7 linked regions of the Canis lupus familiaris genome follow. The protein of the gene in region 5 purifies or fractionates together with the protein of the main gene of each other region. This does not show direct contact. Links are inferred from orthologs where the notes say so. Each region holds a gene or a part of one and is shown on either strand. Other genes may lie near its edges.

Evidence for each region.
Region 1: the proteins of WDR5 (region 5) and MGA purify together in Homo sapiens (affinity purification with mass spectrometry; 5 studies listed by BioGRID and IntAct, counting the BioPlex papers as one, with this or other methods). This does not show direct contact. The link is inferred for Canis lupus familiaris from reciprocal best matches to the Homo sapiens genes WDR5 and MGA.
Region 2: the proteins of WDR5 (region 5) and PAXIP1 purify together in Homo sapiens (affinity purification with mass spectrometry; 7 studies listed by BioGRID and IntAct, counting the BioPlex papers as one, with this or other methods). This does not show direct contact. The link is inferred for Canis lupus familiaris from reciprocal best matches to the Homo sapiens genes WDR5 and PAXIP1.
Region 3: the proteins of WDR5 (region 5) and YAP1 purify together in Homo sapiens (affinity purification with mass spectrometry; 3 studies listed by BioGRID, with this or other methods). This does not show direct contact. The link is inferred for Canis lupus familiaris from reciprocal best matches to the Homo sapiens genes WDR5 and YAP1.
Region 4: the proteins of WDR5 (region 5) and E2F6 purify together in Homo sapiens (affinity purification with mass spectrometry; 4 studies listed by BioGRID and IntAct, counting the BioPlex papers as one, with this or other methods). This does not show direct contact. The link is inferred for Canis lupus familiaris from reciprocal best matches to the Homo sapiens genes WDR5 and E2F6.
Region 6: the proteins of WDR5 (region 5) and GRWD1 purify together in Homo sapiens (affinity purification with western blotting; 3 studies listed by BioGRID and IntAct, with this or other methods). This does not show direct contact. The link is inferred for Canis lupus familiaris from reciprocal best matches to the Homo sapiens genes WDR5 and GRWD1.
Region 7: the proteins of WDR5 (region 5) and RERE purify together in Homo sapiens (affinity purification with mass spectrometry; 5 studies listed by BioGRID and IntAct, counting the BioPlex papers as one, with this or other methods). This does not show direct contact. The link is inferred for Canis lupus familiaris from reciprocal best matches to the Homo sapiens genes WDR5 and RERE.

Annotation. Positions count from the first base shown.
Region 1 is NC_049251.1:9,095,107-9,098,684, forward strand, and holds part of MGA (MAX gene-associated protein), read left to right. Parts: coding exon 1-980; 3' UTR 981-3,578. UniProt on the Homo sapiens protein: Functions as a dual-specificity transcription factor, regulating the expression of both MAX-network and T-box family target genes. Functions as a repressor or an activator.
Region 2 is NC_049237.1:18,846,185-18,850,539, reverse strand, and holds the start of PAXIP1 (PAX-interacting protein 1), read left to right. Parts: upstream 1-1,482; 5' UTR 1,483-1,550; coding exon 1,551-1,631; intron 1,632-2,676; exon of another isoform or gene 2,677-4,193; intron 4,194-4,221; exon of another isoform or gene 4,222-4,355.
Region 3 is NC_049226.1:29,537,539-29,541,116, reverse strand, and holds part of YAP1 (transcriptional coactivator YAP1), read left to right. Parts: intron 1-2,867; coding exon 2,868-2,980; intron 2,981-3,578. UniProt on the Homo sapiens protein: Transcriptional regulator with dual roles as a coactivator and corepressor. Critical downstream regulatory target in the Hippo signaling pathway, crucial for organ size control and tumor suppression by restricting proliferation and promoting apoptosis.
Region 4 is NC_049238.1:8,186,859-8,191,060, reverse strand, and holds the start of E2F6 (transcription factor E2F6), read left to right. Parts: upstream 1-1,343; 5' UTR 1,344-1,597; coding exon 1,598-1,705; intron 1,706-4,202. UniProt on the Homo sapiens protein: Inhibitor of E2F-dependent transcription. Binds DNA cooperatively with DP proteins through the E2 recognition site, 5'-TTTC[CG]CGC-3'. Has a preference for the 5'-TTTCCCGC-3' E2F recognition site.
Region 5 is NC_049230.1:50,410,375-50,413,952, forward strand, and holds part of WDR5 (WD repeat-containing protein 5), read left to right. Parts: coding exon 1-47; intron 48-696; coding exon 697-805; intron 806-1,099; coding exon 1,100-1,173; intron 1,174-1,563; coding exon 1,564-1,653; intron 1,654-1,849; coding exon 1,850-1,939; intron 1,940-2,135; coding exon 2,136-2,219; intron 2,220-3,578.
Region 6 is NC_049222.1:108,488,175-108,492,426, forward strand, and holds the end of GRWD1 (glutamate-rich WD repeat-containing protein 1), read right to left. Parts: intron 3,777-4,252; coding exon 3,563-3,776; intron 3,425-3,562; coding exon 3,282-3,424; intron 3,127-3,281; coding exon 2,929-3,126; intron 1,485-2,928; coding exon 1,167-1,484; 3' UTR 506-1,166; downstream 1-505. UniProt on the Homo sapiens protein: Histone binding-protein that regulates chromatin dynamics and minichromosome maintenance (MCM) loading at replication origins, possibly by promoting chromatin openness.
Region 7 is NC_049226.1:62,759,613-62,763,948, reverse strand, and holds the start of RERE (arginine-glutamic acid dipeptide repeats protein), read left to right. Parts: upstream 1-1,507; 5' UTR 1,508-1,982; intron 1,983-4,336. UniProt on the Homo sapiens protein: Plays a role as a transcriptional repressor during development. May play a role in the control of cell survival. Overexpression of RERE recruits BAX to the nucleus particularly to POD and triggers caspase-3 activation, leading to cell death.

The sequences.
Region 1 (3,578 bases), on a different chromosome or scaffold from region 5:
CACAAGAGTTCTTACCCAAAAAGATTTCTGGTGAAGTGAGAGGTATTCAATACAAGTGGAAAGAGTGTGAATCTAGACGGGAGAAACCAAAGCCAAAGGAGTCTACGTTTCATAAATTGAAGATGAAAGATCTCAAAGACTCAAGTATAGAGATGGAACTGAGAAAGGTAGCATCTGCTATAGAGGAAGCAGCGCTAGATCCCAGTGAACTGCTAACTAACATGGAAGATGAGGATGATACTGATGAGACACTGACTTCTCTACTCAATGAGATTGCCTTTCTTAATCAGCAACTAAACGATGACTCTGTTAGCCTGGCTGAACTGCCCAGCTCAATGGATACAGAGTTCACAGGGGATGCTCGACGGGCTTTTATCAGTAAGCTTCCTTCTGGTAACCGAGCAACTTTCCAGGTTGGCCACTTGGGAAGTGGTTTGAAAGAGTTGCCTGATGTGCAAAGGGAGAATGACTCTGTCAGTCCTCTCCTCTTGCACTTGGAAGATGATGACTTTTCTGAGACTGAAAAACAGCTTGCTGAACCAGCCTCTGAGCCAGATGTCCTTAAGATTGTTATTGACTCGGAGATAAAGGATTCCCTCCTTTCCCACAGGAAAGCCAGTGATGGAGGGAAGAGTACTTCTGGCATCCCTGCAGAGCCTGAAAGTGTGTCCTCGCCTCCCATCCTACACATGAAGGCTGGTGTAGAGAACAGCAGCACAGATACTTTGTGGAGGCCTATGCCAAAGTTGGCACCTCTAGGTTTAAAAGTAGCTAATCCTTCTAGTGATGCAGATGGTCAGAGTCTCAAGGTGATGCCTTGTTTGGCACCTGTAGCTGCCAAAGTTGGATCGGTTGGACACAAAATGAACTTAATAGGGAATGACCAGGAATGCCGGGAGAGCAAGGTGATGCCTACACTGGCACCTGTTGTGGCCAAATTGGGCAACTCTGGGGCCTCACCAAGTTCTGCAGGGAAATGAACTTACTTGTCCTCAGGCAGAAGCCAGGCTATGAGGGAAACCTCCTTTCTCTGTAGGCATCTGTTTATTTGTGTCATGGAACTGTGATCCTTGACTTTGATGTGGTGGATGATGGTAGAGAAAGGGGGGTAGGGTGCTGACCTCGATATTAGAAATTACTACTATGAAATTCTGATCATGTTAAAATGTGTTACCTCACTTGTGGTGCTGGGTCTCCTCATCCTCTCTAAGAAGATGTGATCCATTACTGAACACGAGGTGCCCCTCTTACCCAAGGAATTCATAACAAGACTCTAGGTCCATAGTGGTTCCTAGTTCTTCCCTCCCAGAGAAAAAGCTGCTTGAGACTTTGGAGTTGCTATGGGCTGAACTGTAGTGGATAGCTTTTGTTTTAAGTGGTTTAAGTCTGAAATCCAAGGAATGTGATGCACTTGTGTGAAGGGATTCAGAAGAGAGAGTTTTTAGTTGGTGTTTCAAGAGTAGTGGGAGAGACGATGGGTACCATGGAATACCAAAGTGAAACACTTTGTGTCATTCAGCAAAATTTTCTCTTTCATATCCCAAGTAGCTTCCATTCCCTTATCTTTTCAATCAACTATAAATCCAAGCCTTCTGGTAAAGTAGGAATGCTTTTACAAAAGTGATTATTTTGAGATGTTAAGGAAAGTACTAGTTCTCCCTTACTGTCTGGGTGTTGAAAAGACATTTCACAGTACCAGGGATTTCTACCTGGAAGACATATTTTGGAAGTAGGCATAGAGGGAGCCCTCCCCTTTTCACAAATCCCATCACTCAAGAGACAGCTAAACTGAAAAGCATTCCCTGCCCAGACCAGAGACAGTGGCCAAAACAAAAATTGTGGGGCTGGATGTTTCCTAAATCAAACCAGCCTCCTGGTGCTTGAAGGTTTCATTCACTATTACCTGCACAGGATGTAAAGAAAAGAAAAGTCACAGTAGGCACTCTTTACCAGGGAAATGAGGCAGTATTTGAATCACAAGATATATTTTTTATTATCTGCTACCATGGATTCAATGATCTGTAGAGCTTTTTCACTCATTAGCTGTCAGGGTATGAAGGACTGACAGCCTGTAAAGATAAAGATATTTATATTTTTGTATAGTTGTTTTCATAGATTTCTCAAAGGCTGAAGTTTTCAACCTAGAAGATGAGATTTGTATTGAGTATAGAAATGATGTTTCCTATCTAGTTTGTAAATAATCATGGTGCACTTGAGGGGTCTCTTGGAAACTCCTGGGGGCAAGAATCACTATTCTGAAAATGTATAGATTGGGATTTAGCTGCTGCATTTTGCCTTTCTTAAATAATTATATTTTGGAATGTAACCCCTGTTCTGTCTTCATTGACAGGATTTGCTTGTGTTGTGAAACACTAACACAAGAGCTTCCAGTGCCTGGGCTGTGCCTAGGTGATGCTATTTCTTCTGCATCTCCCCCGCCTCGCCCCCCCCCCCCCCCCCCCCCGCCTTCTTTATGCCAAATCCTACTCAACATATCTTCAGACGTAGGTTGTGAGACCAGCTTTGAAATGGTTCTAGCCAGTGAATTAGTACTTCCATGGTTGGTACCCTTTCTAGTATCTCTGGTAATCAGCAGATTGTAAAAGGGTGGAAAAATTTCCTTTGCAAATTGCAGTAAGAGCAAATTCTTTGTTGTTTTTTTGCTACTTGCCTTTCTAGACCTGTGCATCAGCATTCGACCTTCCCTCCCTTAAAGGTTTTTGAAGAAGCTTGAAGTAGGTATTGAGTGCCTGTCAGCTTCTCATGATCCCTACCACTCTTTACCCAGCAGATTTCATTCAATGCCTTAGCCAAGGAGTCCAGCACCTGTCTCCCCTGCTAATAATTGTCCTTGGAGATCCTAGTACTTTAATCCAGGTATAGCAGTTTCCCATTATTAACTTGCTTGCCTCGTCCTCACATTTCCTCCTGACTTCCCAAGGCTCTTGTTATGGCTTTTGAGGGTCAGCCAAGGAGAAGGCAGGTGAGTGAATAATCCTCAGGAAAAGGACCATTCTGATTCTGAACACTGTTCCCTTTTTTAGAAGAAAATAAACAGGTATTAATCGTTCTTGATGGGAAGATATTTGACATAAGATTTGTTGTACAAAGATGGAAATGATGATTCCAGGTGTTTAAGAAAGGCTGCAGATGTCATTACGAACTCCCAAGATAATGGTTATTTTCAAGACCTTAAGAGGGCTAATTTGAAGGAGGGCTCAGTCTTCAGAACAATCCTGCAGTCTTGACACAAATCTCAAATCTCCAAAAACTCCTACCCTTTAACCTTACCCCAGGACAAACTGATCTATGAAAATGACTTGTGTGATTATGAAAGATGTAGTTGAGTGAGAGGAGTTGAGAAATTGGGAGGATAGTGAGCTCTCACCCTAACACTATAAGAAGCATGATCTCAGTAGACCAATAATTCGCCTTTTTATACATCTGTAAATAAATGGAATGTTTTTAAGAATATAATTATGTCAGATTTAGCCTTTTCTTTTATATATTAAATATATATCTTTCCTTTTCTGCTTTTGAAAAATGACTATTTTTTTAGACATAAGAACAGAAGAAGT
Region 2 (4,355 bases), on a different chromosome or scaffold from region 5:
CCTGCTCCCTCCTCCTCGTTCTGCCTGGTTCTCCCCGGCCAGCCAACACCCCCACCAATCCTTCCCTTTCTTCTCCCGTCCTCCTGGGCTACCCAGTCCAACCACCCCATCTTCTTCCATCCTCCCCAACCTCCCCTATCCTGCTGCCTCCTCTCCAGTCCCACCACCCTGTCCTGCTCCGTCCTCCCCGTCCTTCCTCATCCTCCCCCACCCTGCCCTGTCCTGCCCTGGTCCCACCACCCCGTCCTGCTCCGTCCTCCCCGTCCTTCCTCATCCTCATCCTCCCCCACCCTGCCCTGTCCTGCCCTGATACCACCACCCCGTCCTGCTCCGTCCTCCCCGTCCTTCCTCATCTCCCCCCATCTTCCCCCACCCTGCCCTGTCCTGCCCGGTCCCACCACCCCGTCCTGCTCCGTCCTCCCCCATCCCCCCCATCTTCCCCCACCCTGCCCTGTCCTGCCCCGGTCCCACCACCCCGTCTTCTCCAGTCCTCCCCATCCTTCCCTATCCTGCCTCGTCCTCCCCGGTCCCACCACCCCGTCCTGCTCCGCCCCGAGCGCCCGTCCCCGCAGACCGCACAGCTCAGGCAGACCCCAGAACGGAACTCCGGAGGTTCCCGGGTCTTTAAAAAACCAACCGCACTCGCACGGACTCGAGAACGCTGACCACTCAGCAGGTGACAGCAGCCAGCTCCGCGGCGCCGCCGGGTGACATCAGGGAGAGGACGCGTCAGGGCGGCGCCGGCAGGGTGACGTCAGAACGCGCACGTCACGACGGGCCGCCGCCGGGGGCTGTGTGTGGGGGGGGGCAGGGCCTCCCTCGGCAGGAGTGCGCTGCGGGTGCGACGGCGAGACGCCCACCGGCGAGGCCCAGGACCCCGGCCAGCCGCGGCGCCCTCCGTCCCGCACGCCGTCCGGCGCCCGCCCCTCGGCCGGGGCCGAGCGCCCGAGACCCGACCTCTGTCGCCTGCGGGCGCTGCGGCGTTACCTCGGTCCCGTCGGGCGGCCGGCGGCGACAGGAGTCCCTCCGGGGCCCGAGGCCGCCCCGCGCCGCCATCGCCTCCGCCGCCGGCCGCAAGCCCCGCCCCCCGCGCCGCGCGCCTGCGCAGCCCGAGCGGCCGCGCGTGTTGACGGGAGGGGCCTCCGCGTTCCCTTCTTTCCCGGGACCGGCCCACTCGGACCGCGCCGGGGGGGGGGCGCGTTTGTCCGCGTCCTCGGGGTCCGCCTCTCGAGGCGGCGGCGGCTCCGGGTTCCGGGTGTGTGGAGCGGGCCTCGTGGGGGCCGTGCCCGCGGAGGTTCGAGCCGCGGGGGAGGTGGGGGGCGGCGCCGGCGGGCGGCCGGGCCCTCGGCGCTCCCCCTCGGCGGCCGGCGGGATGGTGCGTCCCGCAGGGCGCGCGCGGCTCCCGCGCTTGGGCCGCTCGGCGCGGGCGGGGGCGCGGAGGGCGGGGGAGCGGGCCCGACTCGCAGGACCGGGCCCCGGCCGCGCGGTTGGGGAGCGGGCCCCGCGGGGCGGGGCGGGAGCCGCCGCGGAGCCTTGCGGCCGCCGCGACCATGTCGGACCCGGCGCCCAAAGTTCCCGAGGAGATGTTCCGAGAGGTCAAGTATTACGCGGTGGGCGACATCGACCCGCAGGTACCGCGCCGCCCCCGCCCGCGCCCGCCCGCGCCCGCCCGCGCCCTCCGCCCGCCGCGTCCCCGTCGCCGTCCCCGTCCCGTCCCTGCTCCCGCCGCGGGCGCGCGCCTGGCCGCAGAACGTCTGGGCCCCGCCGCCCGGGCCGCCGGCCTGGCTGCGCCGACGCTGGGCCGCCGGGCGCCGAGCAGGCCCGGGGCTGGGGGGCCGAGGGGCCGAGGGGCCGGGGGAAGGGACCTGCGGGAGGGGACCTGGGGGGCGGCCGAGGGACCTTCGGGAGCTGACCCGCGGAGGGCAGGTGGAGGACCCGGGGTGGGGGTCCTGCGGGACCTGCGACCGGCGAGCCCAGGGGAGCGACCTTCCGAAGCAGACCCAGCGAGGGGACCTACGGCAGGGGACCTGGGGGCCGACTTCTAGACCCGCGGCCTGGAGGCTGGAACACGGGGGCTCTAAAGGACCCAGGATTAGAGGGAGCATGAAGGGAGGCGTGGAGATCTGGGTCATGCCCTACTGGGACTATCAGTAGAGGGGTCTACTTCCTGACCAGAGAGGAGGGGAGGACATGGGGTGGGGGGCCACGTCTCGGGCCTCTGCCTGGTGGGGGTCCGGCATCCTGTCGCATAGGTAAGTCCCCCAAACCCATCTGCCACCTCAGCCAGTTGCTACTTTGCTGCTTTCTGAGGCAGATTTGGAGCAGGAGCATCCTTCCTGTTGCCCACCCCATGTGCCTGTGCTCCCAGAACAGGGGGCCCGAGAGTGGGGACAAGGTGAAGGGAATGGAGCTCAGGTGGGAACCCCAGGTCCAGGCTGCTGGGGTGTAGTGAACAGCCCCTGGTGTGGCCAGCCACCAGAGCTCACAGGGCTGGGCTGTGCAGCTGCAATCATGTGGGAAGTGCTTCGTTTGAAACCCTCTAATTCCTATTTCTTGATTTTCCTAATTGGGATTAAACAGTAAATGTGGAAGATATCCAGGTAGCACTAAAATTGTGAACATTGAACAGGCCCATACCAAAAGATACAGTTTTTTCTAAGCCCCCCCCCCCACCCCACCCCGTAATACATCTGTTTAAACGTCAGGGTGTTACTCTTGCACTGTGGAAGTGAATCTTAGTTGAATATCTATTTCAGGTGAATCTTCACAACATTCTTTTTATTAAAGTTTGTGCAGGTAAAATTACCTGGGGTGGCTTATATGCTATGAGGGCTAAGCTTGGAGGTGAAGAGACTTGGAGCCAGGTGATCAGACCTTCGTCCTCAAGAGTGGAGACAGATGTTTAACCAATGATCTTGGTTGGCATGGAAAGAATTATGGAAGGTTGATTGGTCTTGACCTTGTAGAGGCTGGTCTGTTTGTATCTTAGTAAACTAAACTCCCTTGTGTGACTTTCAGGGTGGACCCTTGTTCTGTTGTAACTGTAGGGTGAAGAGACTGGTCCTTGAATTTAAAGGTAAACCGGTGTTGAACCCATAGAGATCATGATGAATGCCTGTAGCAGTGGCAGCTTTTTCCGGTATTGATAATTTTCCTGTCTTTCACTATCCAACCTTCTCCCCCACCTCCTTCCTACTCTCTTTATTTCATTTTAGGACTTTGGCTCTTATGGGGGACTTGAATCAAATGTTACTTAAAACCTGGAATGAGCTGAATTGGAACCATATTTGCTCAACTATGAGTCAAATCTAAGTGCTTAAAAATGTCCTTGGCAAACTACTTTGATGTGAAACAGTAGATTTTCTAAATGATTTAGAGCCAGAACATTGATTCCCTGAATCTTATAAATATGGATTCAGAAAGTTCATGTGTATTGAACATCTAGCACCTGTTAAAGCATTGGACTGAAGATGAGAAGAACTGATTCCTCTCAAGAACCCTTCATTGCTGGGGATGGGGAGCACACCGGAAGACATGGTGGTGTAGGGTGGTAGGTGTGGCAAGGACAGACTTTAAATTATAAATGTGAGGTGCTTAGGAAGAGGCACCACTGAACTTTTTTTTTTTTTTAAGGTTTTATTCATTCATGAGAGAGGGACACACACACACACACACAGGCAGAGACACAGGTAGAAGGAGAAGCAGGCTCCATGCAGGGAGCCCGATGTGGGATTCATCTCGGGACTCCAAGATCACGTCCTGGGCTGAAGGTGGGCACCAAACCGCTGAGCCACCCAGGGATCCCTTGAACTTTTTGAAAGTAGTTGTCGTATCAGTGGGGTGTTGAGCTATACCCTGAAATTAATAGGGTAAGGTGATGTTTTTCGTGTTAAATGTGTGCTGAGGAACAGAAGCATTGATGTATTTGAAACACACCAGGGTGATCAGTACACCTAGTGCAAGAGTGACATGAGCTAAATCTAGTAATAGATTTAGTAGTGTGAAGATTAGAAAGAAGCTACAAGTTTGGGCACCCTTCAAGTCCATGAAAAAATTAGTATTTCAGCAGAGTTGTAGAAAAGGCAGGCGACGGTGGGTGAAGAGTGAGCAGGAAGTGAAGACATCTTGGACGGTTCCAAGTGATCTGTCAGGAAGAGGAAGCAGAGAAGGAGCCTGGAGGTGTGTGAGTGCATGTGAGGACCAGCGAGGCCTTCTTTGTTCTTGGGTGGAAAGGGAGAGATTGAAATCTCATGACTCCTAAAAAATGTGGTAGGGTTGGAAATGCAAACTGGAGGGTGGATAGAGGAGGGTACCATTTTCTGTGGGTCAAGTCGAGTGGATGTGAAAACTAAAGA
Region 3 (3,578 bases), on a different chromosome or scaffold from region 5:
TTGTCTGTACTTTTTGGTTTTCGGATTTTTTTTAACTAGTTTTAAACAATGCACCTTTAAAAACATTTAAAGGTCCTTTGGTTTAGGAAAGCTGTTCTCTTACGCTTTCAGTTCTCAGAAGATGAATTGCAAACTTCATGATCTTAGAAAAACAAAATTTTGGGACACCTGGGTGGCTCAGCAGTTAAGCACCTGCCTTCGGCCCAGGGCGTGATCCTGGAGTCCCAGGATCGAGTCCCACGTCAGCCTCCCTACATGGAGCCTGCTTCTCTCTCTATGTCTGTGCCTCTCTCTCTCTCTCTTTCTCTCTCTCTCTCTCATGAATAAATAAATAAAATCTTAAACAAAAAAAAAGAAATTTCTTTTATCCTACCAAGACATGCAGTCCAGTCCAGTAGAATTTCCATTTGCTCAGTCTTAGACTTGGGGTTGGGGGCCTGGTTTTTTAGGTTTGATCTTGAAGACTGTCTAAGATGTGTTCGGAGTTTGTGGTTCTGCCAAACCTGAGTGTATGTACACGAGGCTCTGAACATAGACAACAGTGAATCAGGAAAGGTCAGAGCCACATGACTTTTCCCCCCCACAAGGAAGCTTTCAGCTTGGTGTGATTGCAATGTCCATCTTGTTGGGCCTCGTGTGGCCCGAGGGTAGAGGCAGACTATAGAACGTGGATATAGGCTGGGCATCCTTTGTGCAAATTCTTCCTGAGAATGTCTCATGAACACTAGGCTGTAGTTTGAGATTCTGTCTCTTGGTAAAGGTCACTGGGTGTCAGGTGATCGGCATTACTAGGACCAAGGGCAGAATCCTTTTTCCAGGCTGTATGGTACTCCCTGTCCTAAACCCTCATCTGACGTTCCATTTCTCTCTTGGATTCAAGCATATCCTGGAGACTTCACACTGACCACCAGGTTGACTCTCAGCCCTGGCACAGAGTCCCCCTGCCCCCCAGAATCCCAAGATCCTGCTTTCCCATGCTCCTTCTTTGTTCTCAAAGCACTTTGCTCACATAGCGCCTGAGTATAGTTCATTAACACACATGTTCATCTGTCTCCTCGACATTATGAGTCTCTCAGAAACCATCATCTGTAGGTTTTTGTAGTTGTCTCTCTGTCCTCAGAGCCTGAGGACATGCCTGCTCTGTGTGTTTGTGGGAGGCATGGGCCGGGGCCCTGGGCAGAGAAGCAGCCCATGCTTGTCTCGTGGCTCCAAAAGAGTCCCGCACAACCATGTGAGCTCAGCCTCCCCACAGCAGCGTCTCCGGTGTCCGTCTGTGCTCTACTCTTCACAGCAGGAGTGCAGTGTGACCAGGCCCCTTTCCCAGATCCAGGCAGGATGGAACACAGTGGTACGGTGGACAAATGGTCTTAGAGGCAAATTTGTGTTTTCTTGGGTCTTTGTGAGGCTTTTGACTCTTGCCAAAATCTGGCAGATTTTAGAGTAATCCATGGTTTCAATATACACAGTGAGGGGAGGGAGGACAGGGTAGCTCCTTTGGGTAATTAGGGAAGAAATTTGGGGGACTGAGTTTTCAACCTTGAGCAACTGTTACAGCTTATTTCTAAGGAAAGCTTAGCTGTTTTTGTTTTTTAACAAAACAAAAGCTATGTGAGCTAAATAGTTACCTAAGTTTCCAGGCTTGGGGGAAAGTTAAAGTTCACATCCTCGTCGGAGACCATCAAAAGTACCAGTCACCTTTATTTGCTGTACAATTTTCTAGAATTAGCAGAACTCCAAATCCTGTAGTCACGCCGGCTGCTGTCTGTGTGGCACTGGCTCAGGCACATGTTCTGTGTCTGTGGATTGAGGGGATATTGACCACACATGTGTAACCATTTAGCCTCAAGTTAAAATCCATCTTCACTCGTACTTTTCTGTTTTTCCTGAAGGTGTATACCTTAGAATTGTTGGCATGGTTGGAGTTTTATTTATTTTTAAGATTTTATTTATTCATGAGGCGCAGAGACACAGGCAGAGGGAGAAGCAGACTCCATGCAGAGAGCCTGACGTGGGACTCGATCCGGGGTCTCCAGGATCATGCCCTGGGCTGAAGGCGGCGCTAAACCACTGAGCCACCTGACCTGCCCAATGCTTGGGGTTTTAAATCTCTTTCTTAGCTGGAACTCTCAGGACTGCTGTGTCATGCTAAATAAAGTGTTTGGGGTCTTTCCCCCTAAACAGAAGAAGCAAGAAGGCAAAGCTGGGGGAGGTTTGTTTTTTTTGTTTGTTTTTTTTTTTTTTTTTTTATTGGAGCTTTATTTTAGAGCATGCACACAGGTTGGGTGGGGGGTGATCTGGAGCAGACACCTCACTGAGCGCAGAGCCTGCCACAGGGCTCATCCTGCAACCCTGAGGTCACGACCTGCAACCTAATTGCCTGAGGCCCCCAGCCTCCCTGAGGGGAGTTGTTACCTTCTCAGTGGTGACCCCTCCCTTTTGGCCCAGTTCAGAAAGGCCTTGTGGGTTTGTATTGGGTTGATTTTTCCTTGGCTTGAGCTCTGTATACAAGGGGCTGCATCCCTTGTCCCCTGCAGCCTGTGTGGACCCACTGGGGAGATGATAGAAGCCAGATTCAGATGGCATGACAGGACAGCACACAGAGAATTTTCTGTTCTCAAGGAAGGCTGCGAGCCTCTCTTCTCTGCTTTCCTTGCCACCAGCCCCAGACTCGTGGGAGAGCTATGCCTGCCTCAGGGTAAACGTGTCACATCCCACCATGGGTCCCTCGTGAGCCCCGGGGACTGGGTGATGCTTGCTCCACATACTATAGGCAGGAGTCTCACTGACCCTCCTAGAGAATCGTGTTCACCTTTACATTGGAATCATTTAAAATGTTGGTGTAGGTCTTGAATTCTCCTGTTTTGTAGTGGCACCTACCACTCCCGGGATGAAAGCACAGACAGTGGGCTGAGCATGAGCAGCTACAGCGTCCCTCGAACCCCAGATGACTTCCTGAACAGTGTTGACGAGATGGACACAGGTAGGTGTCCTCCACGTGTCTTGGCGGTCGGCCTCAGTGACCACCATTGTTTCTCCAGGTTGGGGGTGGGGGTGGTCACAGGTCTATGAGCAAAGGTTATTGAGAAGAAAACCAGTCACAACCCTGCAAACTTCCACTCCCGTTGAGCCTGCTTTGTTTCTTCATGGCCATTTGTAACTGATGTGTGTTCTGTTTTCCCACATAGACGGCATGGCTCTCTGAACAGAACTGATGGCAGAACTTATTTTAGCACTTCCCATACTAAGCCATATGGCAGGGCAGCGGATGGCCCTCACGGAGATCCATATGGATTCAGTGTCTGCCTCCATCTCCCCCAAGGGCTTGAGGTCTCAGGAAAGCAGGCGGAGAAGGCTGCCTGGTTGTAGCAAGAGCTGAGCAGGGCAGGGTGGGGGCTATCTCCTCCCGTGGCTCACCAGGTGACCCCTGACCGCCCTGTGCTCGGGTCTGAACCCGCAGGGCCAGAGTGACTCTCCCGCTGGCCACCTCTTTGGCCGACAGCTCCTCAGAGTGTTTGGCGCATCTTTTCTGCCTGTACTCATCCTGCTTGTGGCCTTGGTGTGTCCTCCAGTGCTCACCA
Region 4 (4,202 bases), on a different chromosome or scaffold from region 5:
TATCTATTTATTCATGAGAGACACAGAGAGAGAGGCAGAGACATCGGCAGAGGGAGAAGCAGACTCTCTGCGAGGAGCCGGATATGGGGCTCGTTCCCAGGACCCCAGGATCACGCTCTGAGCCAAAGGCAGATGCTCAACCCCTGAGGCACCCAGGTGCCCCACCTTTCAGTTTTGATATAAGATTTACATGCAAAAATGTATGCAGAAACTTTAGTAGAATGCCAAACATATAGCAAACAGTGGATTATGCCTTTTTATGAAAAACATTCTAGTCTCCAGAGCTTGCCTTCCTGGGGACTCTGGTTGGTAAGGGTGTATTTCAACCACTCTGGGAAAATCTCCATTCAGCAACAAAATCCAATCTTCTAGCAACTTAGCCCCTATGTTATTCTCTATTTCAGGTCATTTAGTTAGCAAACATTTACTGAGCTCTTACTATTTGGCAGGCACCGTGCTAGATGCTGGAGATACAAAGATTAGAGAATGCCTCTCCCTGGAGGAGTTTATAATCTAGTGGGGGAGCTGCTTCTGGGGAAACCTGCTGCCCTACTCAGGCTGGGTAGGAACCCCTGGCCTAACCACTGCAGGGCTCAGTCGCTGTACTTAACCACATCGCATTGCCTTTTTATTTCAAACACGTGCCTGTCACCCTTCTAAGTAATTTAATTAATTCTCACAACAAACTTAAGAAATAAGCACTCTCATTATTCCTGCTGCATGAATGAGGAAACTGAGGCACACAGTGATTTTTTTTTTTTTTTAAGTAACTTGCTTAAAGCCTTGTCCTCTTAATAAGGAGAGAGGCGGGGATCTGAAAACACACTTTCCAGCTCCAGCTTTAAATGTCCTGTTTATTCATCTGTTTCCTCTGTTGGACTTTGAGGTTGAGTCTGTGGCAGATTCCGGTGATTATGTCCTGTGCCCACCACGACACCTGACACAACAGGTAACAGTTTATTCATCAGGTGAAAAAAGAAAAAAAGGAAGAGAAAGACAGCAGCTTGTAAGCAACTGCACAGCGGGCTGATTACCGGCATTCACTAAGCATCAGCCCTGGGCGGCCGGAGGGAGCTCAAGATTAAATCCACAGCCGCGCGCTCAGCGGTGTTGAGTGTCGGCGCCTGCGTTCCTTCGCCCCGCCGCCTCTTTTCTCTGGCTCCGTTCCCTTCTTTGGGGGTCCGGCTCCACCTCTTCCTCTCCTCCGCCATCCTCTCCGTGGACTTCGCGTCCGGGCTTTCCCGGGCTCCGGGCGCCGCGAGGGGGTTAGTGCGTGGGAGCGCGGCGGCCGCGGCGGGCGTGCGCAGTGGGGGCGGCGCACTGCGCATGCGGGAAGATGGCGGGCCTGGCGTCCTGAGAGCCGCGGGTCACCCTGCTCGCCTCCGGGCTGCGTGTTAGCTCCCCGGATCGGGGGTCGGGGGCGCTGCGGCGCGTCCGCCCGCGGGCCGGCCCAGGCAGCGGCGCCTCCGAGCGGGCTGCGGGCCCAGGTCGCGCTCGGCCCCCGAGAACCGGCGCGTTGGGGGCGGCGCCCGGCCGGGAGCGGGAGAAGGCGGGAGAGCTCGCGCGGTGCGAGGCGCGGGCCGGCCGGCCGGGCAGCATGAGTCAGCAGCGGCCGGCGCGGAAGCTGCCCAGCCTGCTGGTGGACCCGGCGGAGGAGACGGTGCGCCGTCGGTGCCGCGACCCCATCAACGTGGAGGGCCTGCTGGTAAGCCCCGGGGCCGGCTGTGCCCGGAGCGCCCGGGCCCGCGGGGCGGGGCGGCGCGGGGGCGGGGAGGGGGGCGGGGGGGCCGGACCCCCGCCCCCCGCCCCCCGCCCCCCGCCGGGCCCGGTTCCGGTTCCGGTTCCTGGCTGCTCCCGGGCCTCCCTGGCGCTCCCGCTGCCCATCCTGGGCTCTCCTCCAGGCCGGTCGGCCTTTCGCGTGAACTGCCTCCAACACTTGCTCCCAAATGTGTGGTCCTCAGTCTTGCTGGCCTTTACCTGCTGGGGCTGCCCAGCGCTCCTGGAGAAAATTTGCCCAACTTGGCGGGGTTTTTTGTTTTGTTTTGTTTTTTCTTCTCCCCTCCGCGGTACCCTCGCAGAGGTACACTCTGCAACTTAATTGGTTTTGTCTTCATCCCATTCTCTTACTTGATTCCAGCTATTTAGACTCCTGCGCCGCCTACCATTTCCCACCCCGCAGCTGCCCATTCAGCAAAATTTTTTAAAGATTTTATTCATTTATTCATGAGAGACACAGAGAGAAAGAGAGGCAGAGACACAGGCAGAGGGAGAAGCAGGCTCCATGCAGGGAACCCGATGTAGGATCCGATCCCTGGTCTCCAGGATCACGCCCTGGGCCAAAGGCAGGTATTAAACGGCTGAGCCACCAGGGATCCCATTCAGCAAAATTAAGGACGATTGCGCTCCCTCCCCGGCTACGGTGAATTTCCCCTATTCTTGTTTTATTTTTATTATTTTTTAAAAGATTTTGTTTATTTATACATGAGACAGAGAGGGAGAGACACAGGCAGAGGCAGAAGCAGGCTCCATGCAGGGAGCCCGACGTGGGACTCGACCCCGGGTCTCCAGGATCAGGCCCTGGGCTGAAGGCAGGTGCTCAACCGCTGAGCCACCCAGGGCTACCCCTTATTCTTGTTTTAGGCTAAACGTAATATATTCTCCTTGGTCCTTGAGGCATTGATGAATCCATCATTTTCCATTTCTCCCCTTATTTTCAACTTCTCTGTTCATTTCTTCCTGTAATAAGCAAATATTTGCTGAAGTTACTGTGCCCAGTGCCCACGGTGGCTCAAGTGCTCAAAAATAGTTTATGAGCATAATCTCATTTAATTTCCTCACAGAAGTCCCCAGAGGTTATTTTTCTTGTTCTCCGTTTGTCAGAACAGACTCAGAAGTGTTAAGTGGCTTGTGGGCGGTTGGACAGTACCTGGAAACGCCTGGGTTTAACCTCACAATGACCCCTGATGATAAATTCTTGACCACTTTGCTGCATCCTAAATATTTCCCCATCTTGAAAGAGCCTTCCCTTAATTCCAGATACCCTGCCATCTCCTATATCCCTTCCTTCCAAGCTTTTCCAAAAAATTGTTTGCGTTCGCTATGTCCGCTTGCTCACATGAGGGACCTCTGCGCTCAGCACAGCTCTAAGACTGTTCTCACTGAGGTCGCCAACGACCTTGTCAGTTCCATCAGATGTTTCACTCCTTATCGCTAGTGTCTACACAACTGACCACTTGCTTTTGTTGGAAACTCCCCTCTGAATGGCTCCTTCGGTACCTTACACTGTTGCTGCTCCATGTACTCATCTGGCCTCTCCTTGTGCTCCTCTGCAAACTGCTCTTTCTCTCTGCATTCCTTACGTGCTGGTGTTATTTGGGGTTTTCTTCTCTCTCTACACGTTTTTCACCCGAGACATCTTTTGCCACTTCTAGGACTTCTGATACCATCTTTACTCGTGGTTTTCATCTTTGAGGATTTGATAAAAGCCCTGAATTCTCAACTGTGGAAAAACCACTTAATTTTGTATTTAATATCAGAAGACACACGCATCTCTTGCTATTTAGATATTCTTATCTACTTTGGCAATTTCAGTCACCATGTCAGAATAACTCCTAGGTCTGTAAATCCAGTTCAGAGTTTTCCAGCTGTCTACTGACATCTCTACATAGATTTCAAACTCTATCCAAAATTGAATTCATTATCTTCTTGCCTAAGGCAACAGCTCTGCTATCTCTTATCTTCACAAACGGCTCCACATCCACCATATTGCCCAGGCTAGGCTCTTAGGCATTGTCCTTGCCTTTTCTCTTTTCCAAACTGACCCTCTATCCTCCCAATCTAATTAAAGTTAATCACCAGTACTTGGCACCTCTGACCATATATCTTTCAAGTTGTTGCAATCTTTTCCTGCTTCTTGCCCAGAAGCAAAACCTGGTTACTATTCTCCACATAGTAACTAACTATCATGGTCTTTTTTAAGTGTTTCTTCTCTTTTCTTTTTTTTTAAGATTTTATTTATTCATTCATGAGAAACAGAGAGAGAGAGAGAGAGAGAGGGGCAGAGAAGCAGGTTCCATGCAGGGAGCCCGATGCGGGACTCGATCCTGGGTCTCTAGGAAGGTGGCACTAAACCTCTGAGCCACCAGGGCTGCCCTTAAAGTGTGTTTCTGACCATGTCATTTGGTTTAAAGAATCTATCACCA
Region 5 (3,578 bases):
CCGCCAGAGCACAGCCCACCCCTTCCTCCTCGGCTACGCAGAGCAAGGCATGTCCCTGAGGGCTTGAGGGGAACTGCCAGGGGCGCCTAGGCCGAGTACTCTTCAGAGATGCTTCTTCCAAGTCTGTTCTCCCTCTTCAGTTAGACACTGTGTTTTTATTTATGGGCCACAGACCTAATCAGTGCTTGTTTACCGTGCTGAGGATCCCCAGACCTGTCCCCCGGAGAAGGGGCTTTATCACAACATAGATCCTTGTTCCTGATCGTAAGATCTCTGCAGCACCCAGAAAGCCTCTCATACAGCATCCCCCTGGTCCACAGTTCTGGTGGCCAGGCAGGTTTGCAAACCCCTTTGCTGGACACCAGGCGGCACATACAGGCCTTTGAGCAAGGCTACAGCCTTCAGGTTTGCTTTGAGGGAGGCTGTGCTTGCCGGACTTGGTGATGCGTGTCGGACGTTGGGGTGGGGTCAGGCCTTGAGGGGCCTCTGTGTTGAGCTGTCCTGGAAGAGCTGGGCACGAAGGTGGGGGCTGCAGGAGAAGCAGGGCTGCCGAGGGGAAATAGCCCAGATTTAAACACGACCAGTTGGAAAGGACTTCCAGAGAGTTCTAGCAGGATTTGGAACTTAGAAGGTGGTTCTGAGTTTGAAGCAAGGTGGTGGTTAATGGTTTGATGACTAGTATTCTCTCTTCAACAGCCTACCCCTGTTAAACCAAACTACGCTCTAAAATTCACCCTGGCTGGCCACACAAAAGCCGTGTCCTCCGTGAAATTCAGCCCGAATGGAGAGTGGCTGGCAAGTTCATGTACGTATCACCAGGGCCTCCGCTCCTGTCAAAGGTAGTCTGTGCTGCCACCAGAAGCCCGGAGCAGGGGGAGGGCTTGCTTTCTGATGCTGCCACTGGGGTGTCGCAGGGGCTGGAGCCCTTTACGTAACACTCTGAGATGATGTGCTCAGGGGAGAGGGGAAGGGTACTCCGGTGCCGGCTACTTCTTTCCATGGGATTTGCACTGTTTCCAGGGCTCCTGTTGTGGGCAGCCCGGATTTTGCCCTTGGGGTGACTGTACCATCACAGTTATTTTGTCTTTCTTTTTTTCAGCTGCTGATAAGCTCATTAAAATTTGGGGAGCATATGACGGAAAGTTTGAGAAAACCATATCTGGTCACAAGCTGGTAGGTTCATCCCTGCACGTGGAGGTTGCCCACTGGCCGCCTTAGCCCCACTGGTGGGTGGGGCCCATCCCCAGAGCTCAGCAGGTTAAGGTCTAAGCTTTCCCCCGGAGTTTTTTGGATAGTTCTTTGCTTTTTGTCTTTTTTTTTTTTTTTTCCTTTTGTCTTTTAAGCAAGTACTTCTGACCTTCCCAGACAAGTTTCTGCCTGACTGCAAGAGAACACACTCTCCTTTGGGGACTGTGCGGTGTTTCGTCTGTGTGGTCAGCAGTAGCTAGAGGGTTTGGGTAGTGGAGTGAGGTGCTTATTTATCTTTGGATGGATGTTCTGACCTTTGCTGGTTAACTGTATTTTGTCCTGTCAAGGCGGTGACCCTGTGTCTTTGCTCCCCAGGGGATATCAGATGTGGCCTGGTCATCAGATTCCAACCTCCTCGTTTCTGCTTCAGATGATAAAACCCTAAAGATCTGGGATGTGAGCTCGGTGAGCTGCTCTGCCCAACCCCCGCCCCGGCAGAGCTTGTGTGCGTGGACAAGGGGCAGGGCGGGAGTCCGAGGGGGGTCTGGGGACCCTGGGTCATGGGGTGGCCCTGCTCTGTGGGGTATGTGCCATTGGGCCGCTGTGGGCTCAGCTTTGAAATAACCACTAGGACTAACAGTCTGACGATACTTGGTTTTAGGGAAAGTGTCTGAAAACCCTGAAGGGGCACAGTAACTACGTCTTCTGCTGTAACTTCAATCCCCAATCCAACCTCATTGTCTCGGGCTCTGTAAGTCTAACCCCCCCTTCCCCTGGGGTGTTGTAGGGGTGTGGGGGTGTGGTACTTTGTAGCCAGAGACTTAGGAGTTGAGCCTGAGTCTTCTCTGCTGGGGGATGGGGGCCGTGGTGGCAGGCCTTGGGTTCCAGAAGACCTGTCCTCTCCCACCTCCCTGTGGAGTGGCCTTAACCTCTTCCTTTGTCTTCAGTTTGACGAAAGCGTGAGGATATGGGACGTGAAAACAGGGAAGTGCCTCAAGACTTTGCCTGCACACTCGGACCCGGTCTCAGCTGTAAGTCCCGCTGAGCTCTGGACACCACATGGCAAGACAGGGTGATGGCCAGAGAGGGGGCACTGGGGACCCCGAGAGAGTTCTCCCTATCCTGGGCCCGTGAAAGGAGAGGCAGGCGAGGGGTTTGGTCCCTGAACCAAATCCTGTGGGACAGGTAGGGCAGCCAGGCCTGGAAGAGGGGCTGTGTGTTGGGAAGTGTGGCCACAGAGAAGTGAATTTGGAGTGGAGTTGGCTTTGATCCTGGGGTGGTGGTGGAATGAGCTGGGGTGAGCTAGCCGAGGGTAAGGGCTGGGGTGGGGGGGGGGTTGGAGCCCCACGAGCACCCTGTGTGTGCTGTGTCCTGCCTTGTGCACACGCTAGCAGTGTGCAAGATGAGGTACGTAGTTGAAGTATCTGCTGTAATACAAACCCTCCATTTGAAAGTGGCCGAGAGATTTTTTTCTTTGTCAGCAGAGCCTAGACTTGTTTCTTAGCCAAGTTTGCCTTTTTTTGGAAAGGGGAAGGAATCGTGTAAACATTGTGCTTATTTTTACTGAGCAGATGGTCCTTTTCACTTTCTGAAATCGTGTAGGTGAGTGATTTTAAGTATTTTCAGGCAATAAAGGGCTTTTTTGCCCAGCTGAGACCATTCGCAGAGCCCAGATACATGGAGGACATGTATTACGTGTTGGTCGCAGTGGACTGAGGGGCCCTCGCTGCCCAGAGTCCCGGCCAGTGTGGATGGGGCTCATCCTTGGGGGCCCCGAGGAAGGCAGTGTGCTGTGGAGAGGGGGCCTGGCCCACCTGGCGCTCTGCCCTCTGCCGTGGACCCCCAGTCCCAGGAGAGCTGACTTTGAGATGGGCATGGTGGTGAATGTGGGCAGGACCCAGGATGCAAGCTGAGTGAAGGCCAGGAGTCCCAGCAGTGCGAGGTGGTGCGGGGGCTGTGGGTGGGACCCTCAGCCTAAGTGGTAGGGTTTATAGAGTCTTTGTTTTCTGTGGAAGTGAAACGTACTCATTTTTTAAAAAAGACAAACGGATGCAGTGAAGAGAAAGTCACTCTCCTGAGCCCTCCAGGACCCCTGCTGGTAGCCCCCCCCCCCCCCCCCCCCCCGCACGCCCTGGGTATTCTGATATTTTAAATATGTGCTATCTCCCACCATCTGTCCTGTAAGTGGTGGGGGTGACCACAGCTATTGTGCGTCCCTGTGGGAGGGTTTCTCGGGCATCTGTGGTGTCCATAGACCCCCATGGGCAGTGGGCACTCTGTGCTGGGGCCTTAGCAGGTGCTTGTTCGTAGCTTGCATTTCTCATGGAGGAGTGCGATGAGCATCTTCGTTGGGCCACTTTACCCACCATGTGTTTCTGCGGTGAGCTTTA
Region 6 (4,252 bases), on a different chromosome or scaffold from region 5:
CGGATCAGAGGCCTGGCTGAGGGGGGGCAGGGGGTGGGGCCAGCCCAGAGCCGCAGAGGGGGAGCCAGGGAGGATGGCCAGGCAGGGCAGCTGGGCCGCAGCCCAAGCAGGCTGGAGAGGAGACGCGGTGAAGAAACGGGAAGGGGGAGGGGGATAGGGAGACACGGGGAGATAGGGACACAGAGAAGGGAACAGAAGGGGAGAAAGGGGACAGCGGCAGAAGGACAGAAAAATGGGCTCCTCAGTTCCCTTTGAGATGAAGACTTCAAAAGCCCAGGGACACAGGTGAGCCACCCCTCCAGAGACCTGGACTGGGCTCCATGTGAATAAAATTCAGGGTGGGGTGTACAAACAGCACCCAATGGGCGGGGAGACCCCCCATGAAGCAGGGATTCTCCATGAAGCAGGGATTCTCGGTGGCCTCTGGACAGCTGGGAACCTGGGTCCCACCTCCTCCTCCCCTTTCTTCATAGGGAAGCAGCCAGCAGGATGAGTCTCACATACATCAGGCCTCATTCTGGTCCTTTACTGCCTTGGGGGCCCTGGACCTCCTTCCCTGCACATCGCTTGCCTGGGATGCAGGAGGGAGGAAGACCCATACAGCCCCCTACCCCCACCCCTCGGAAGTCCTGGCCAAACCCTGTTGGCTGGAAGTGGGGACAAAACCAGATTCTGCTGGAAGAACCCACCCTTCAACCTCGGCTGGGCCCACTGTAAAGTGCTCTGAGTTCTCCGGGGCGGGGAGGCCAGTGGCCAAAACTGGGTCCTGTAAGCGAGAGGTCAAAGCCTGACAGCTCGCAGAATATCCACAGCAATGCTGGCCACACCGGGCCCACCTGGGAAAGAGGCCAACAGGTCCTGGGACAGGTTGAGGTGGGAGGGGTATGGCCGGAGCCAAACCCAAATCTTTCCACCGGAGGGGACACAGGAGTCAAACCAAGCCCTCTGGCTGGAAGGCTCCCTGAACCAAACCAGGTAGTTTTACAGTCATGGGTTGACCCAGACGCATGGGCAAGAGGGGTCAGGGGGCCAAACGAAGTCCTTTCCAAGAACAGCACGTCAAACAGAATCCATCGCGGCAGCTCACTGGTCCAGTGAAGCCTGACTCTGGGAGGAGAGAGGCTCAGCAGGTCTGCAGGGTCGTCCCGGCCGTGGCGGCCGCCTCCTCAGACACTGATGGTGCGGAAGACTGTGAAGCCTGACAGGGCGGTGCTAACGAGGACCCCGGGACACTGTGGATGCCAGTGCAACTCCTTCAGGTCTGTCTCGCCCTGGTGCACGAACAGCAGCTGCTGGGGAAGGTCCGCCAGCCCAGGGTCGGTCTCCGTGTCGCCTGCCTCGGGGTCCCGTTCAACTGCCAGGTCCCACTGTGTGATCTGGTTGTCTGCCCCTGAAGCTGCGAAGACTCCGCTGTCCTGGGGGTGCCACTCAACAGAGGTGATGGGGGCCACGTGCTGCTTGAAGGTGGCCACCGGGGAGCCGGACTATGGGAAGAGGGGAGTCAGGGGTTCTGGACACCCCAGCCTGACTCCCAGGGAGCCCTCACCACTCTCCAGCCTTGGGGGTTCCACTGGGGCCCCACCCCTGGGACTTGCACAAGCCCAGGTTCTCTGAAAGGGGCAGAGGGCCAAGTACATCTGGTAATAGAGGCATAACATCCTGGAGGCTGTGGGAACTGTGGTTTCACCTGCCAAGCCCTTCCAGCTCCAGGTCACAAAGTCCCCACCGCAGGTCCTCCCTGGACATGCCTCAGGTTCCCTTCCTATAAAGGGGGTGGTTCTCGGGGGCCCCCAGAGTGGCTCAGTCATTTAAGTGCAGACCCTTGGTTTCAGCTCATGATTTCAGGGTTGTGAGATCAAGCCCCACGTCAGGTTCTGTGCTCAGTGTGGAGTCTGTTTGAGATTCTCTCTCCCTCTCTGCCCTTCACCCCACTCATACTCACTCTCTCTCCAAATGAATCTTTTTTTTTTTTTTAAGATTTTATTTATTTAATCATTAGAGATACAGAGAGAGGCAGAGACACAGGCAGAGGGAGAAGCAGACTCCATGCAGGGAGCATGATGCAGGACTTGATCCCAGAACCCTGGGATCACCACCTGAGCCAAAGGCAGACGCTCAACCACCGAGTCACCCAGGCATCCCTAAATAAGTAAATCTTTAAAAAGGAGGGGAGTAGTGGTTCTCAAACTGCTCTCTCCCTACTGATTCTATGAAGGCCTTAAAGAGAACAGAACCATAGCTCCCAGTGTCCAGAAAGAAAGAAAAGCAGCACTTCTACTAACTCAAAGGTGCAGCTGAGGACTGGAATCTCTCTAAACTGGAGAAGTAGTTCCAAAGTCCCAGTGGCCAATCAACTTGGCCATGGAACCTGGCCCTACACCTGCCTTGGGGGCTGGAACCGGTTTCTAGAAGGTTCCTCAGAGCTGACGCTATAGAAATCCTTACACCTGAGGAGAGAGAAGATGCAATGTCTCATGTCCAGAGCCCCTCCTAGCTCTATAGTCAGTTGTCACTGGGTGTGATGTCACATCTGTCCCTGTCCTTCCTGTACCTGTTTCCTCTCCTGCAATGAGCAATGTGGGCTCCAATTCTCAGCTGATTCCACAAAGCTCACTAACATAAAGTCTACAGCTCGCTGAGACTCCAGAAGCCCTGGGCCACGTGGCCAGCTGCTCTGCTTGCCAGCGGGTAGATGGGAATGGGGAGTCTCTGCTGCTACCTGGCCGCTCGTCTCCTGTCACCTCTCCAGCTGGGGGGTGTGTGTGTCAAGCCACCCTCCACCAGGAACAGCCTTTTCCTGCTGAGCCCTGTTCCTCATCTGCACCCCAAAAGGGCTGGACCCCAACTCAACAGGCCCTCCCAGCTCCGGTGTAAACAAGCACCTAAAGAAGGGAAGCCTGCAAATCCCAGGGCCGGCTGGGAAAATACCTTGAACTGCCTCAGGTCCCAGATCTTGAGGGCTCCATCGTCCCCGCCGCTGAGCAGGAAGGGTTCCCGGCGGCTCCAGTTGATGACATTAACATCTCCATCATGGGCAGAGGTGGTGGTGAGCATGCAAGCCTTGCTGGGGGCAGCCCGGATGTCCCAGATGCGAATGGAAGCATCAGCCGAGCAGGAGGCGAACACCTAGACAAGGCAGGGCCTGGGTGACCTCGGCGTACCTGCCACCCCAGCCTGGACCCCAAGGACGACTAGCGATGGACTAGTGCCCCCTCACTGTGCCTAGCTCCCGTCCCATCCTCCTTCAAGGCCCAGGAGTCCAGACCACCAGCCCCCCTCACCGTGTCCTCAGTTGGGGACCACTGTAGGTCCTCCACAGAGCGTGTGTGGCCCATAAATGGCCGCTGGTCCACATGCCAGGAACCACCATCCGTTGGCGTCCAGAGGTGGATGTTCTTCTGGCAGTCTCCGGTCAGCAGGCGCCCTGGAAACGGAGTCAGGAAAGTATCAGGGCCCAGATGGCCACAGCTCCCTCTTCTCCAGCAATTTTAGCTCCCACCTTCCCTACAGATCCTGCTCCCTCTCACACCCCCAGGACCAACTGTGCACCCCAGGGACTCACCAGACACCCGGGGGGACCAGTCAAGAGCAAAGCCCTCGCCCATGTGGCCAGCAAAGGTGAAGATGGGCTTGACACGGGCCTGCTCATCCCGGAGGAAAGTCGCCAAGGCCTGGGGATCATCCACCACCTGCAAAAGCCGCCGCAGGGCAAACACCTCCACCTGGCCCTTCTCTGACCATATACCAGCCACCGGCTCCTCGCCCAGCCAGGATACCTGCAGGGGAAGGGACAGGAGGCTCAGGGTGGTGACCACAGCTCCTCACAGCCCCGAGAAGCAGAACTGCAGCCCCAGGGCTAGGACTCCAGCTCCCAGAAGCCTTGGTGGGGACAAAAATCACAGCCTGCAAGATCAGCTTGGTACCTGGGACAACTTCCCATTCTATGTAGAGGCATTCCACCAACCCTTGGAAGAGGTGGGAGGTGCTCAGACTACCAGTCCTTGTAACCCTCTAAATGTTGGTGAGTCACAGGCCATCATCCTTGGTTCTCTTTGCCCTGTACATCTGCTCACTAGAAGATCCCGTTCAGCCTCAAGGTTTCCAGTGGTCCCTAGTCTTGACCTCTCCTCAGCTCTAAGCTCCTACCACACTGACTGTTCAGATGGATCCAAAACCGAGCTCCCGATTGCCATCTGCAACCTCCTCCACCCCGGGGCTCCCTGCCTTGGGCCCCAAACTGGGGGACTCATTG
Region 7 (4,336 bases), on a different chromosome or scaffold from region 5:
TAACTTTCAGTTCTCACATTATTAGATATGTAATGAGGTATTAACTACCTTTCCCATTTCATAGCTGAAGGAATTGCAGCAAGAGAGGGTTTTTCTTGCTGAAAGTTACTCAGAGAGGTTATGGCAAAGATCCGTTTTGTTTCTCAATCTATGGAGTCACAGCCCAATGATATCTGCTCAGTCCAAATTATTCTTAAAAGAAACTGCTGGATATGGAAATTATAATCTGGATATTCCAAAGAGAAAATTATCACTTTATTTGAAATAGATGAGCGAATTATTTTGCGCTGTGTTCTATCCCTTAATTATTCTATTATATACAGATCTGAACTCCTTCAGGGAGAGTGTATGGTATAAGGACACCAATAAGCATTTACAGTATATTAACAAACCAACAATAGGTTGATGATTCGCCCTGGATTCGTGCCAGGGTGTGTGAAAGAACTCAATAAGCATGATATGCATTTCAAAAACTGCTCGTCATAATTAAAATTTCCAAACCTCTCATTCCTATAAATTATATTAAACAAGAGTATGCGCATTTGGCCTGCCCCTCACTCCCCTTACAGCACCGCGGACCCTGTCATTACCAGCCTTACCAGAATACTAGGTTTCTCAAAAGAAAAAGGTGATCTTCTTTCTTTCTTTCTTTTTCTTTCTTTCTTTCTTTCTTTCTTTCTTTCTTTCTTTCTTTCTTTCTTTCTTTTCTTTCTTTCCTTTCTTTCTTTCCTTTCTTCTTTCTTTCTTTCTTTTCTTTCTTTCTTTCTTTCTTTCTTTTTTTTTTTAATTTTTCCAACTTAAGGCATAGAGTTGTGCACACTGCTCTCTCCCTAATACCCTCTGCGGCTCCCTAATACCCTTCTTTATTCCTTGATGAGACTTTCCGGGCTTTGCCTCTTTATTATATTCTTTTTCAAAGAAGCAACGCGACCTGCGAATTTCGTTTTTCCTTTTCTTAATTAATCTTCTGAAATCAGAATTTCGGAAGAGTCCTGCAGCGAATCGCTGGAGCCCACTCCGAGTCCCCCTCCCCCCTCCTCCCCCTCCTCCCCCCGCCCCCCTTCCCAGGGACACGAGTCCGCGTCCGAAGTGGCTGCGACCGCAAATTGTGACCCCGGCCCGCGGCGCCGCTGGGACCCGCACAAAGACGCGCCGCGGTCGGGGGCCGAGCCCACCGCCAGCCGCCGCCCGGAGCGCGCGCTCGAGCCCGGGCCGCCGCCGCGTCGGTACAGACCAGCCTCTCCCCTCCTTCTCTCCTGCTCTTTTTTATTAGAAAGAAAAAAAAAAAAAAAAAAAAAAAAAAAAAAAGAGGGAGAGAGAGGGAGAGAATGAGAGAGCGCAGGAAGCCCCGCCCCTTCGCCCGCCCTCCGCCTCCCATTGGCCCGGCCTCCGCGCGCGTCACGCCGGGACGCGCCAATGGCGAGGCGCGATACTGCGAGGTGGGCCGGGCCCGAGCGCGGAGTGGGCGGCGGGTCGGTGCAGCAGCCCCGCCGCGGCTCGGCCACCATCGCCGAGGCGCCGCTACTCCCACAGACGCTCGCGAGCCGCCCCCCGCGCTCCCAGCCTCCTCTTCCTCCCGCACGCCCCAGACGCTCGCCCGCCTCGGGTCTCGCCCCCGCCTCCGCTTCCCCGCCGCTCTTCCCCTCGCTCGCCTCCCACACTGTCTCTGTTTCTTTTCTCTCCTAGTTGAGGGGGGAAAAATCAGCATCATCCTCAGGGAGCCCCTCGCCCTCAGGAACACAAAACCAGACATGATCCTGGGCTCCCGCTCCTGAAGGACTGGCCGAGCGAGCAGCAGGGAGGCTGGTGGAGACCGGCCCCGAGGTCACGGGAGGGAAGCCCCCGCAGCCCCCCGGCCCCGGCCCCGTCCCCGTGGCCGGCCCCTCGTCGGCCCGAGCCCAGCGGCCTCCCCGCCCCGTCCCCCACTTTCCCGGGAGCCGGACGAACACACCTCCATTGATGGTGTAGCGCATCCGGGGAAGGTAAGTCTCCAACTTGCCGGCGTGGGGCTGCTGCCGTCCCCCCGGCGCCTCGTCCTGGGCGCGGGCGCGGGCGCGGGCGCCGGCGCGGGGCGGCAGGGGGTCGGCGTGGGCGCCCCGGGTCCGCCGGTGGGGGGGGCGGCCAGCGAGCGGCGCGCGGCCGGGGGGCGGGGGGTGTCGGGAATAAAGGGCCGGGGACTTCCTGGGCCCTGTGCGGGCCAGGTAACTGTCCCACTCGCCTGCCGACCCCTGTTCTTTCTTTGCTGCTTATTCATGGTCTTGTTTGACTTGTCTGAGGGTTAAACTGTTTCATGTGACTAAATTATTGGCTGAAACTGGGGGTTGGGGTGGGGAGGCAGGAAGGGAAGTCAGGGACCCAGACTGTACATTTCTTGAATGTTTGTGGGTCTGGGGGTCTTGGTGGTGGTGGTGGTGGTGGTGGTGGAAAGGACTCTTTTGAAAGTATCATTTTCACATTAGGGAAAGATTCCCTCTTTGTGCTCTACATCTCCAGGTCTCTGTGTGGTTCCTAAATTATTACGAAAACCCCCAAATCATTTGCAGCAGAATAGGATTCTTACTACCATGTTTGAGTTCTGCTCTCTGAAAGAGAGAGTGGCTTCTATTTTTATTTTTATTGAAGGTTTTGAAAAGAAGAGAGGTAGTAGTTTGACATAAGATGTGTGTGTGTTGGAGGGGGGAGTATTGCAGGTTTCCTTTGAAAGTGGTTGCTTGAGAAGTTGTTGAAAGGAAAACAAAATGATTCATTGTCGAATTGTCATGTTCCTCTGCCTCTTTTCCAAGGTTTGCTTGCAATTTCTCTGGATTAGAGACTTCAGACATTGATTTAAGCAAAAAACGTGTCCTTGAGAAACTGGGTGCTTTAAATGTTTCAGTGTGTGTTGTTGCTATTTTAAGGGACATTTAGAAAGTAGTTTTGTATGAATCCCGAAATAGCTTTCCCCAAAGCAAATTTTTAAACGCAGAAAAGATAACTAGTAAAAGGGAAACTTCGTGGATTGCAAAACAAACATTTTGATGTCACACAAATTAATGCACCCTATGTTTAGATACGAAACTGTTTTGATAATTGCTTTCCGTTTAAAGAGAGACCTTTTTTTTGTCTGGTGTACACTGGTTTCTTTTAGTCTCAGTCTGTTGGGGGAGGGGAGAGAGGATGGATCTATACAATAATAAAATCATCTTTGGGTAGCTGTTTCCTTCCATGGATTTCCTTGCTGAGTTAATGCCACTGTAAATTATAAACCAGTTTTGATTTTGATGGCCTGGGTGGAAAGCTGGCTTCTAGCTCTCCCTGTTGTTGTTGAGGGTGAAGGGAAAAGAGGCAGAGGCAGACACACACACACACACACACACACACACACACAATACCAGGCTGAGGGCTCATTGTTCTTCCATACACACATTCATTCTCTCTCTCCCATATTTGGGACTAGGTTTGCACAGACAAACACAGCTCTTTTTTGGGAGAGAGGAGAGAGAAGATGGGGGGAAGGGTGGACGCTTTTCTTTTTCAGCTTTCTTTCACCCATCTCATGTCTGGCCTTTTTTTTTTTTTTTTTTTTTCCAACCTTAAAAGAGGCAGAAGAGTATACCGGAAACTAAAGGACACTCAAAAACCTGTTCAGAGACTCCTCTTCTCCACCTCCCTTCTTTCCTTTGCAGCCCTAGTTTCTGCTGCTCTTTTTTTGTGTGTATGTAAAGATAAAATCCCTCTTTATATGTCGTGGCCTTGTAGTCAGCTTTCCTATTCTTCATTGCCCCTGACTTTGTTGGGGACAGTGATTTGTTCAGTTGACTCTTATTGTAGTGAATGTGACCAGGGCCTTTTCTAGGTAGAAGTAGATCGTCTCAATTAAGATGAAAAAGATCGTGTTTGAGATTAATATTTAGTAAAGGATGTCTGTGTGTTTTGACATATTAGTGGTCTGATGGCTGATAATAGGTCTGCTGGCCATTGAGATGTCATTTTTTGTTTTGTTTTGTACACAGGGGCTATAAAGACAGATCTGATTTTCTCTTTTGGGGGCTGGTGTAGAGTCTTCGTTAAATACTGGACAGGGAATAGGCTGACCGATCCCACCTGGGTTAAACCCAGCTCTGGGCCAAGGATGGAGGTTGGTGTGAATACTGCGGGTTGCAGAATAGCACCTTCTACTGGTTAATTGCTTTGAAGGATCCTGATGAGGAGCATGGGGGAGGGGATTAACGGCCGAGGCCTAATGATTTTCTTTTGAACGCAGTTGTAGTGCCTTCCTGCAAATGCGACTTCCCTGAGCTGCTAATACACATGCCCTTTGACTGGCACAGATGCATTGAGGCTTTTTACGTTATTG